3 linked regions of the Danio rerio genome follow. The protein of the gene in region 3 purifies or fractionates together with the protein of the main gene of each other region. This does not show direct contact. Links are inferred from orthologs where the notes say so. Each region holds a gene or a part of one and is shown on either strand. Other genes may lie near its edges. The genes, in order: bag5, pycr3 and dnajb1b.

Region 1 (4,199 bases), on a different chromosome or scaffold from region 3:
CATCTTAAAGATCAGATCTGTTTGCTTGACGTAATTAACTTCTAATCTGTCTTCTATTTAAGCACATATTTTTTTTCTTGTTTTAAGCCTTTTATGCATTTTTTTGAATATCATGGTTTTCACTTTAATTGAAATCAGCGGTAATTACCAGCCATAAACTTTTGTACCGCTGGATTGGTATGCTGCACTGACCATTTATTTGTACCTTCTCTTGTTGATTAGCACCACACTTATCTCACTTAAGCGTTAAAACAGAAACTGAGAAAATTTTTGGTATGATGAAACATTTCAGAAACAAATAACTTGGGCATACTAAAACAACAGATTAATTGTAAAACATCATTTACCCAATGAAGACTTTAAAGAGTTATTTTATATTTGATTATTACATTTTTGTGTCTTAATACTGTTACACTACCGAGAAATCTATAAAGCAAACCTTGTTTGATTTGCTCTTTAATTGATTTAATTTGATTTGTTCAAATAATTTAAAAAAAATAAGACAATTTTGAAATTTTTATGTTCATATAAAATGCTTAAGAAAATATAATAAAGGAATAAAAAGTTTAAAGGGGATTGTTTTCAGAAACATTTTTGTTGTGCTGGTTGAAAATCTCTGCACATTCCAATAGTAATGATTAAAGTAAATTATATAAATGTATTTATATGTATTTTTATATACTGGGTAAGGCATAAGTCTAAAAAATGTTCATCCAATTAAAAAATTGTCAGGCAGACAATTCCCATAATTCTGATAGCCCAAACTGTCTGTCAACAAATGTAGATTTGTACATCTGGGAAGCCATTCACACAGATCCATCATTTTTTTTCCGCGTTTACCTGCACACAAGAGAGAGAGAGAGAGAGAGAGAGAGAGAGAGAGAGCAGTAAAAACAAATGCTAATTGCTAAATCAAAACTTTTGAAAATCCTGAATCAATATTTGAGTTACTTTAGCACGCTGGATGAAGGATGACACCATGGCTGAAGTATTTTTAGACAGGTAATGTTATATTTTAAAACAATTTTAGTCATGCAAAACTTATGTAGATTTTGTTGTTTTATGTTTGGGTTATATGCACAAAAGTGTTGTTCAGCCACTGAAATCTTCCAGCGAAAGAATAATGTGGCTATTTTCAGTTTTATAAGGTACCATTCTACAGAATCGATAATGTTGATTTTTATTAAGTTTAACAACAAAATATAAGTAAATAGCGCTATTCTGCCTAGCCTGCTTTACTGAGGAAGTTGATTTTACATTCACAGTGGTTTTTTTTTTTTAACAATGACAGCCTGCGATGCGCTCTCTATATGGTTTACTATGCTACTTCGAATATTCGGTCTGAAATAACAAGTATGTCTTGGTAATAAGTGTAATTCCTGCACGCCGCTGGCCAACGACAACCGTAGTGGCTTTAGGGCAAAGTGCATGAGTGAGACCTTGCATGCATGAATATTGCACATTATGACAAGTTTTGCTTGCTACACAACTGAAAACATGTTAGATTTAATACAGTTTTTTATTCAGAATTGTAGTATTATAAAGTATAACAGGCGAATGACATGATCTAGTTGGTTGTCTACTGTCATCTTTAGTGTGCGTGTTCATGATTTCAGGAGGCGTGGCTTTATATGGCAGGGGAGGTATTGCGTTTTAAAGATATTATGCTAGCCTGTAGCATTTAGGCAGATCACTTATCACACCTTTAAATTGACCTTGTTCTGTTTTACGTCATGACTCAAAAGCCGCAACCAATTATGCAGCTAGTAATTATGTCAACACATCCTAATATTTGAGCCCTTTTAAAGAATTGATTTCTTGTTTACATTAAGCTTGCATTACCAAGCAACATGCAATTTTATTAACATTCATTCCAGAGAGCTCGGTTATCAGCAGGACTGTGGTAAATGAAACTGCACAGAATGCAAACATTTAAGCAAAGAGTGAGCATTTAGCTAATCTCTAGTCTTAAATCAGTTTGAACAGTCGGTCGGGAGAAAGATTTTCTTAGCATATAGGGGGTAAACAGAGCTAACAAATAGTGGGAGTGATTGGGTGCGAAGTAACGCCCAGGGGGAGCAGGACTGAAGTAACAGACCTGCGCAGACCTCTATAGGCTGCATGTACGGATCCAAATGGGATGCTTCTGGGTCTCGACCACCTGTTAGTGATCACTGATCTTTGAGTAGTTTTCAAGAAAATCTGCATTTGTCATACTTTGTGTTTGAATTTACATTGAGTGTCTGTTGAAACACTGATGGCAATGTGCTGTGTTTTTGGTTTCACCTGCCCTGGATTGTGGAACTGTACACAGCTCATGATGCTGATGTTACTGGCATGCTCAGTTAAAAAAGCTGCCCTGTACATGTTAGCTGAACACACATCTGACCATCATCATATATGCAATCATTAAGCTGTCTTATAGTTCTTAGATACATGATTCAGAAGACATAACATGACTAAATATGCTTTGCAACGGCTGATTCCAAAATGACTACATTTGGTCCCCCAAGACCGTACGGCTCCATCTTTGACATGAACTATAGAATCAATCCAGCAGAGGGAGAATCTAACACAAGCCTGTCCATGCCTCACCATAACGATTGTTCAGTAATAGATGCACATGAATGAAAACATCGCAGAATGACGTTTTTATGGCTTCTGAACACCAGCCAGCCATACCCAGCATATCTCACCACCTCCTGGGATGCGCAGCATATTTCTCACCTCTTCAACGCGCCGAAAACGTTCGCGCACATGTTTAAGGGGCTCCTTTTCCATCAGCCACGCGAGTAAAATGTTTTGCACGGCACAACACTCCAGTAATTTCTGGATCGCAGAGTTGCAGTGATACTGGCAAAGGCAAACAGGCATTCAGATCAGTTGAAGCATTACATCGGCGTGGACCGCATTCCTGCCCCTCCCCTTCCCTTCCCTTCCCTTCCTCGATCAGCGCCAGTGGTCTAGTGACTCTTTTGAATCAGTTCAGTAAAAGATTCATTCAGTAACAGTCTGTGCAGTTGCGTTGTTACGCCGGTGTTCCGGAGAATTCAGTTCCCCTGTTCCCCCATTCACAGCGCATGCGCAACTTTACGGCTGATTCCATGTACACAAATCATGACGTCAAAAATTCGCTTCGCAGTTCATGGTTGTTTTGATGTATTTTCGTAAGCCCGGTGTTTATTTCATCACAGAGTTTATAAAATGTTGTAATTATTTGCATGGACACCCGTGTCTATTGTATTGTTCCTGTTTTTAGCACGCGCTTGTTTCTTTCAAACAGTTGCCTTGTCGAAAAAAATAAACCATACTACACTGCACAAATTATAGTGTGTTTTATTTCAGATAAATCACAGTGATACTTGTGTTGTTTTAAAATACATATTTACGTAACTTGTCATGTATCTTCAGAAAGTGACTTTACATTAAAAAAACAGGAGTACGGATTTTCCCGAAGCAGAGGAAAGTGTTACCTTCTGAGGATTGGAAAACACAATATACAATGCCTTTTTAACATCAGATTTAAATCTAACAATTTTGTTACACCTTAAAAAAAAAATAAGTAGGCCTAAATTAAAAGGATGATACATTAAATGAGTTTACTATTTGAACAACCCTATGCTTATCACACACACACACACACACACATATATATATATATATATATATATATATATATATATATATATATATAAACTAGCAAAAAAAAGCTAAAATCTTTTCAAACGAACCAACCAAAAATACGTGCACGTTTTCAAGTGTTTAAAGCAAGCTAAGCAATAATATTCTTCATTATAGGCTGTACAATATATCTTATCAGCATTAATATTGCCATGTGCCCATCTGCAGTAGTCACATCTGCAATGTTGAACAGCACAGGAGTTCAGAGTACATGTGATTTGTGGAGTAGCTGCAGATGCAGAACCAAAATTAAATAAAAAAAAATATCATTTGCATGTGATTTCAAAGAGTTTAATACATTCAGGCACAAGAAATTATAACTTTTAAATCTTAAACAAATATTAATTGTACTTGTTTTTTTATATAAAGAAGACGTGTTAATTTACATTTGATTATTCGATTTCTGTACTGAATGCTCCAAAAAAAAAACAAAAAAATAAAAATAAAAAACAAACAAACATAAAACACTGTTTATCTCAGCAGTTTTGTCGTTGCCCTGTTTATCTATGCTTGTAAAT
Region 2 (4,306 bases), on a different chromosome or scaffold from region 3:
ACAGTTTAGTTCCAACCCTAATCAAACACACCTGATCAAACTAATCGAGTCCTTCAGGCTTGTTTGAAACCTACAGGTAAGTGTGTTGGAGCAGGATTGGAACTAAACTGTGCAGGGCATCGGCCCTCCAGGAATTGAGTTTGACACTGCTGCTGCGTTTGGTGCTTCTTTGCATTTCTTATGTTGGTTTACTTCTTATCTCTCCTGTCGTCAACATTATATCAGTCTCCTATATTGGTCTATAAGTCATTTACTGCTATGGTTTCTCGCGGTGTTCGTCAGGGTTCTGTCCTACTCTTTTTGCGCTATAGGGGAATTGATTAACTAAATTGGCCGTTGTGTATGAGTGTGTGTGTGAATGAGTGTCTATGGGTGTTTTCCAGTACTGGGTTGCAGCTGGAAGGGCATCCGCTGTGTGCTGGAATAGTTGGCGGTTCATTCCACTGTGGTGACCCCTGATAAATAAAGGACTAAGCTGAATTAGAATGAATGAATGAATGTAGCTTTTATGAAGCCAGAAAGTGATGTTCATTTATTTCTTCACTGCCTTTATGTTTCTCTTTTATTTTTAACATTATAAAAATGCTAATTTACCAAGGAAAGATGTTATTTTATGCATATTTTAACATTTATATATATATATTCATATTTAATAGGCAAGTGTCATATACATAAATGTAAATTAAAAGAACACATTTTTTTACAGTATTTAAAATTTAATGCATTGAATAGTCCATGCTTGTAAATCTATTAAATTAAATTAATTAATTAAATTAAATAATTAAATTAAATCCCCCCCCCCCCCCCCCCGAATTTTCTGAATTTTAATTGTTTGATTCTGTCTCTCACAGTGGAAATGCACCTCTGCTGAAAATGTAGACCTCTCTATGATTTCTTTGTAGATGTTTAAAAAATCACAGCATGATCAAATACTTATTGACCTCACTGTATATCATTAAACTAAAGGGTAAACAAACAAGAAACGTAAACAAGAAATCACTAAAATGTTAACATAAATAAATAAATGTATACATTAAAATGCAAACACTGGGCAGTGAAGCTCTGGACTGGAGAATACAGATCAGAGCTTGACACAGAAAATGACTACTGACTAACAAGTTTATACTGAAGCTGGAGTCATTTATTGTAATTTATTACATCTAAAATCTCCAGTGAGTAATTATGCAGCCTACTTTATTTTAATACTTTAATAATATATCATATACCAAAATTACATGCAACATATGCATTTAATATAATAGTAAATATAGTTTACTCCTTACCTCGTCTAATTCTTCTTTCCATGGATCAGGAATTACAGCAACACTGATCTGCTGGATATATTGTTGACGTTGTGTGTTGTATCTTGCTCCAGTCCAGCAGATGTCAGCAGTGTACATGCTATAGTTTCGAGTCTGTACTGTAAGTCCTGAAGAAAATGCCATCCATGTGAGAAGAGTTTACAAATTAAACAGGGATCAAGTTAACAATTTAGCTGCTGCTGCTGCGTCTTTATCAAACTTACCATGAGTCTGTCAGGTGCTTCAGACAAGACCAGCGATTCACCCGTGAGTAGGTTTTGTTGACCATATACTATATTAACCTGCTGATTAAATGTTGTTTAGTGAACAGATGTCAGCAGCAGCATCTCCAGTATTATGATTGTGAAATAAAATGTCTGTTGTGAATTCAGGATGTGTTTCAGATTAAGATCGGATTCATCGGAGCGGGAAACATGGCGTTTGGCGTCGCGCAGGGAATCATCGCCTCAGGTCAACAAATACCTGACAGTACCTTAAATAACTGCATTATATCAACAGTTCTGTTTATAAAGTGTCTAGTATCATGTCAAGTACATTCAGTAGGAAAAAAATATAACAGTAGTTTAATTTATAACAAACCTACGTGCTTTTGAACCTTATATATATATATATATATATATATATATATATATATATATATATATATATATATATATTTTTTTTTTTTTTTTTTTTCCATATTTTAATCGTATAATATGTTGTATTAGGCCTGTTGTTTTGTTCATTTCTGCACTGACAGCTCGAAAGAAAGATTTACATTGATCTGAGTTCATCTGCTATGTCTCTCTATAATTTAAGCCTATAATGCAGAATTCTAGCCAACGTTTCTTTTATAGATTGATTAATTCAATAGATCGATTTTTACAAAACCTGACAATTGAAATGAGGCTTTGTATATATGAGAAAGTCTGACCTCTGCTTTATATTCGGTGACGATGTCTGTGAGTTGTTAAAATTAAAGGGCACATTTTTGCTTATAAAATATTCTATACACAACTGGTCAAAAGTTTGGGGTCAGTATGATTGTTAAATATGTTAAACTAAGCTTCTTCTGCTCACCAAGGCTGCAATTATTTCATCATAAATACAAATTGTGAAATGTTGCATAAAATAACTGTTCAAAAGTACTTTATCATTTAATTTATTCATTTATTCCAGTGATTTTAAAGATGAAATTTCAGCTTCATTACTCCAGTCACATGATCCTTCAGAAATCACTAATATTAATTATTATTATATTTATTAATGGTAATAGTAATAAAAGCAATAATGTCTGGGGTAATCATTTTATTTGAAATTACATACAATAACAAAGCAGTTATTTAAATTTTTGATAAATATTTAACAATTTAACATTTTTTACATTTAATAAATGTAGCCTTGATGAACTGAATAAGTTTTCTTAAAAACATAAAAAAAATTACTGTAAATATATATACAGTGGAAGTCAGAGTTATTAGCCCCCCTTTGTTGTTTTTTTCTTTTTAAAATATGTCCTAAATTATGTTTAACAGAGCAAGGAAATGTTGATAGTATGTCTGATAATATTTTTTCCTCTGAACAAAGTCTTATTTGTTTTATTTTGACTAGAATTAAAGCAGTTCTTAATTTTTTATGAACCATTTTAAGGTCAAATTTATTAGTTCCTTAAGCTAATTATTTTTCAAACTGTCTCCAGAACAAACCATCGTTATACAATAACTTGCCTAATTACCCTAACCTGCCTGGTTAACCTAATTAACCTAGTTAAGACTGCTTCCATCTTTTACTTTCACACAAGTACTTAGTCATTTTAGCGCACGCCTCAGATACTGTTGGCTGGTTCCTGTTGGTTGTGTGTCTTTTTTTACTGACGCCATTATAACGACACAGATCACTGCCTATTCACGAGAAAAAAGTGATTGACAGGTGTAATTATGTGTGTAACTTGCCTTTATTCATTTACTGTATGATTTGTTTATGGGTAAAACAAAGACCATGCAGGTCAGGTAGTTTAAACGGTAGGCTACAAATAATTAATTGGTCATTAATTAATTAATTATTCATAATCGAAAATCTAATCGAATCGTGACTTTAGAATCGAAAATGTAATCGAATCGAGGATTTGGAGGATCGTGACACCCTTACGTGTGATTTGTGTGGTTTTATTGACATTTTATTGCTTTTATTTTTTATGTTATAGGGAAGGTTCCACCAAGTAATATAATTATTAGTGCTCCATCCATGAACAACCTTCCTCGCTTTAAGGTAAGACCTTATGAACATTTAAATTACGCTTTTCCAAAAAAAAAATGTAAAGAAATATTTTGATATAATAAAATGTTCTACGGTTTCCCCCACAAGTCCAAAGACATGCAGTACAGGTGAATTGACCGTAGTGTATGAATGAGTGTGTTTCCCAGTGATGGGTTGCGGCTGGAAGGGCATTCCCTGCATAAACATATGCTGGATAAGTTGGTGGTTCATTCCGCTGTGGCGACCCATGATTAATAAAGGGACTAAGCCGAAAATGAATAAATACAATTTTTTAAAAATAGCTATATATATATATATATATATATATACACACACACACACACACACACACACACACACACACACACACACGGTTAAAATCTGAGGTTTACAGACATTCTAAAAAAGCAATATAAGCATTTTAAAAAATGTCTGATGGTAAATCATACTAAACGTTTACTATTTTAGCTTCAGGATTACCTAAATTATTTGCTAAATGCCAGAATAATTAGAGAATTCTTTTTTTGAGAATTTTGTATTAATTTCTAGACAGTCAAAAGTTTTCACACATTTCCTTGGTATTTTTTAGCTTTGCTATTAAATTGTAAAACTTTGGTCAAATGTTTTGGGTCTCCTTCCACAAGCTTCTCACAATAGTTGGCAAGAATTTTGGCCCATTCCTCCTGACAGAATTGCTGTGACTGAGTCAGATTTGTAGGCTGTCTTGCTCGCACAAGCTTTTTCAACTC
Region 3 (4,243 bases):
CAATGGCCCAGAGGCTGTTTAGATTGCCCAAAGGCCCTTAAACAATGAATAAATGCACTACAGAATGTTACGTTTTCACTCACGCACAAATTGCATGGAAACGCATCAGGTTTTTACAGTGTAGTACTCACTACTCCTGAGTATTTTTCTAAGGTCTACTTTTTACTCATAGTTTGAGTAATATTTACAACAGATACATTTACTCTACTTGCACTACATTTTTGGCCAAGTAATGGTACTTTTACCTGGGTTAGATTTTTTCAGTATTTTTTCCACCACTGCTTATTAGTACATTTACATTTATGAATCAAAATTTTGTTAACAACATAAGCAAATGATTAAAATAAAACCAATTTTCCTCTTGACTAGGGTAGACAGTAAAGCCCAAAAGTACATTTTCCCACAACAATAAGAGAGGTTTAGAAAACTAAAATTTGTTATTGTGTGTATATATATATATATATATATATATATATATATATATATATATATATATATATATATATATATATATATATATAACAAGTACTCAGCATTAATATTTTTATCCTTTACTCAGTGAATATAAGCAATAATAATAATAATAATATTTGGTGCATATAAACAAAACAGATTTATGAAACGGATATATTTATTTAAAAATTATTTTATCCACCAAACATATTTAGAAATTAAAAAACAATACTATTAAATTCAAGCAAAATATTACAAAAACAAAAAAAAACTACAACCTACAAAATTTCAACCAAATTTTTATTTATTTTTTTTGCTTCTCTTCTCATTAAAATTTGTATTTAATATTTTTCTATAACATGTTAATATGGGTGAACTAGTTTTTGGTCCGTTACCGAAAGTTATTTTGTTAGATTGGTCCAGATTTGACTTCAGTACTGACTAAACTAATGTATATGCACAAATATAATATTGTAAACGTATTAAAATATTAAAAAACATGAATTTAAAAATGAATTTAAAAGATAAGATTTGTTAAGGGGTGTACTAATGTATGCTGAGCACTGTTTGTACACACACACACACACACACGCACACACGCGCGCACACACACACACACACACACACACACACACACACACACACACACACACAATCCATTCAATATAATAATAATAAAATATACTTCCTAATAATTTCCACTTAACATTTAATGAAACATAAGATTTTTTAAAAGGTAGATGATTTAATATTATAAAGATATAATTATAACAATAATAGTACAGTTAAAACATGAGAATCATCATTGGTCTAAAATAGCATCTTCCCTGGACAGAGTTTGTAGGTCACTCGGTCAGGAATGTAAGGGGATTATGCAAATATAAATGACGACATACGAAATCCAGCCGAGAAGCGCCCGTTATGGCGTCACACAGGCCTGTTTATGTTTGAGTACATCATAGTTTGATAGAGAAACGCAGCTGTAGTTTCTTCTGGTTTCGGTTTTGCCCGTTTGCTGCAGCAGCTGTGCGGGTGGAGCAGATCTGCCACGTGGTCCAGGTCCAGGGGTGTGGAAACAACCAGAGACTTTGAGAATTTTCTAGAACTTTCTTTACGGTTTTAAATAGGGGGAACCACAGAGCGGCAGGAGCATAAAAGACCGCAAGGGGACGAGACGACACCTCTGCAAAGATTAGTTTCAGGTTGGTTTGAAAACAAACAGGCTAGCAACACTAGTCTGAACCGCAGTTTTTCTTTCGGAGAATATACATTTAAGAAACACGGAAGCCTAATGGTGAAGATGGGGAAAGATTATTACAGCGTTTTGGGGATTCAGAAAGGCGCTTCTGACGATGAAATTAAAAAAGCGTATCGCAAACAAGCGCTGAAATACCATCCGGACAAAAACAAGTCAGCCGGAGCCGAGGAAAAGTTCAAGGAGATCGCGGAAGCATACGACGTGCTGAGTGACCCGAAAAAGAAAGACATCTACGACAGATTTGGCGAAGAAGGTGAGTAAAAATATGCAAACATTTGTAACTGTGGCTCTGTTCCACGACGCAAATATGAATAAGAAGAGTTTTAAGAGGGATTATGAGCCTTTACTAATAAGATATGTTGTTTAAAGTACAAACTATTGTGTTCGTGTTTGTTTTCTTCTAGTCACGTTTGAGACAAGAGAGATAGATTAGATTACTGACTGGCTGAATCAGTTTAATCTATGATGTTACGTGGTCCTGGGCTGCTTTCGACGCACTCTACACTACTCAAACGTTTGAATTAGAGATAAGTCAATCTGCTGAATCTGTGATAGTGAAGTTTTATTTTGTAAAAATAAGTAAACGAGATCCGATCAGCAATGCTGCATTCTGATTGGCTGCTTGTGCGGGACATTCTAGAGCGTCGAGCGCTTGCTGGAAGATTCTGATAGTCACGTGGTGCGAAGAGGCAGAGCGTTTGAGTTCCGTCAATAGTTCTGTACCTGTTCAGCTTTAAACAATCTTAAATGGGTTTGCACATTCCAGAACATTTTAAAACGACTAGCACTTAAATATAAATATTTACTAATAGAAAATCTATCAAAAGGAACCTTTAGATATTTTTGGAGATACAAGTTAAGATGAATACAAACCTCCAGTCCTTTTACCAGTATGTGTAGTTGAGTAATCAAAATGATCAGTGGTTCTATGCTAAATAATCAACATTTATATGAACTATTAAATTAATCTTGAAATTTGAGTGTTGTATTTTTGTTTAAAGATTGCAATTTGATTTATTTGTGTGCCATTTGCAGGACTGAAGGGAGGTGCTCCTGGAGGAGGTGGTGGTGGTGGAAATTACACATACACTTTCCAAGGAGATCCTCATGCGATGTTCTCAGAGTTCTTCGGAGGGCGAAATCCTTTCGAACATATTTTTGGACATAATGGCGGTATGGATGAGAACATGGAAACTGATGACCCGTTTGCTTCTTTTGGTATGGGTGGCATTGGTGGTTTCCCTCGCTCCTTTACCACACATAGTCACGGTGGAAGAATGGAGAGAAAACAAGACCCTGCAGTGATCCACGACCTCCGTGTCAGTCTAGATGAAGTGTTCACTGGCTGCACCAAGAAGATGAAGATCTCACGCAAGCGCCTGAACCCCGATGGACGAACAACACGCTCAGAGGACAAGATTCTGACAGTGGAGGTGAAAAAAGGCTGGAAGGAAGGAACCAAGATAACCTTCCCCAGGGAAGGCGACGAGACGCCGTCAAATATCCCTGCAGATGTGGTGTTTGTGTTGAAGGATAAACCGCATCCGGTGTACAAACGAGATGGATCGGACATCATTTATCCTGCAAAAATTACTCTCAAAGAGGTGAGATGATTTCTATGATATTGAAGAAATATTCAATAGCATGCTAAATAATTTTATAGGCCACTAGATATTTGAAATAACCAACATGTTTTATACCATTTCAAAAAATGTAACTTCTGAAAGCAAACACACCATTAAGGAACATCAAAGATCAATCAGCAAAATCAAAAACACTTGAAACAGACAGGAGAAAATTCTTGCCTGTTTTGACTCTTGTATCTGAACATGGCTTGGTTGCTTGTTCATACTGAAAGTTACACATTTTTGTACAAGAAAACTAAGACGTTCACTTTCCTTGGTTTCCGAAATGCACATTAGCATGTAAATACTAGGGATGCACCGAAAATGGTTTTTGGGCTGATATCGATAGCCAATAAATCTTAGATTTGAAGGCCGATAACTGATGTATTAGCTGATGAATATAAATATTTTAAAATGTTATATTTTTGCACAGTGAACCACTGATTTTATTTAAAAAAAAAACTTCATAAAAGTTTGAACTGATCTAAAAATAGCCTTCTTAAAGCAAAAAAAGTAATAATTTCAAAATTGCAAGGTGATTATATAAACCTATTCACACTTTCACATAAATCATTTCCTTTTTTCCACATAGCAAATTTACATGCAACTTGACTGTTGCATAAAAATAATAGGTTAAATGACAACTAGATTTAATTAACAAACAAGTTAAACATTTTAAATAAAATGAAAACGAAAAAGTACTAAGTACTTAAACCAGCTCAAATGTCAAATGAAAAGTATTACATATTTGTACAATTGTAAGTCATTTAATACTTTTATAACCGCGCTCCACACTTAAAAGCAGGCAGTTCTGTACAAGTACAAAATTAATTGGCTTAAAGATATCAGCCTAATTTTGAAATTGGAATGATAACGATAACATTATTAATAGCATTTTTCAGCAGAT

Evidence for each region.
Region 1: the proteins of dnajb1b (region 3) and bag5 purify together in Homo sapiens (affinity purification with mass spectrometry; 3 studies listed by BioGRID and IntAct, with this or other methods). This does not show direct contact. The link is inferred for Danio rerio from reciprocal best matches to the Homo sapiens genes DNAJB1 and BAG5.
Region 2: the proteins of dnajb1b (region 3) and pycr3 purify together in Homo sapiens (affinity purification with mass spectrometry; 3 studies listed by BioGRID and IntAct, with this or other methods). This does not show direct contact. The link is inferred for Danio rerio from reciprocal best matches to the Homo sapiens genes DNAJB1 and PYCR3.

The regions. Positions count from the first base shown.
Region 1 is NC_133188.1:17,770,520-17,774,718, forward strand, and holds the start of bag5 (BAG family molecular chaperone regulator 5), read right to left. Parts: upstream 2,951-4,199; 5' UTR 2,760-2,950; coding exon 2,728-2,759; intron 1-2,727. UniProt on the Homo sapiens protein: Co-chaperone for HSP/HSP70 proteins. It functions as a nucleotide-exchange factor promoting the release of ADP from HSP70, thereby activating HSP70-mediated protein refolding.
Region 2 is NC_133195.1:55,818,832-55,823,137, forward strand, and holds the start of pycr3 (pyrroline-5-carboxylate reductase 3), read left to right. Parts: upstream 1-1,473; 5' UTR 1,474-1,526; coding exon 1,527-1,568; intron 1,569-1,693; coding exon 1,694-1,772; intron 1,773-3,504; coding exon 3,505-3,569; intron 3,570-4,306.
Region 3 is NC_133176.1:59,235,527-59,239,769, reverse strand, and holds the start of dnajb1b (dnaJ homolog subfamily B member 1b), read left to right. Parts: upstream 1-1,367; 5' UTR 1,368-1,744; coding exon 1,745-1,964; intron 1,965-2,746; coding exon 2,747-3,315; intron 3,316-4,243. UniProt on the Homo sapiens protein: Interacts with HSP70 and can stimulate its ATPase activity. Stimulates the association between HSC70 and HIP. Negatively regulates heat shock-induced HSF1 transcriptional activity during the attenuation and recovery phase period of the heat shock response.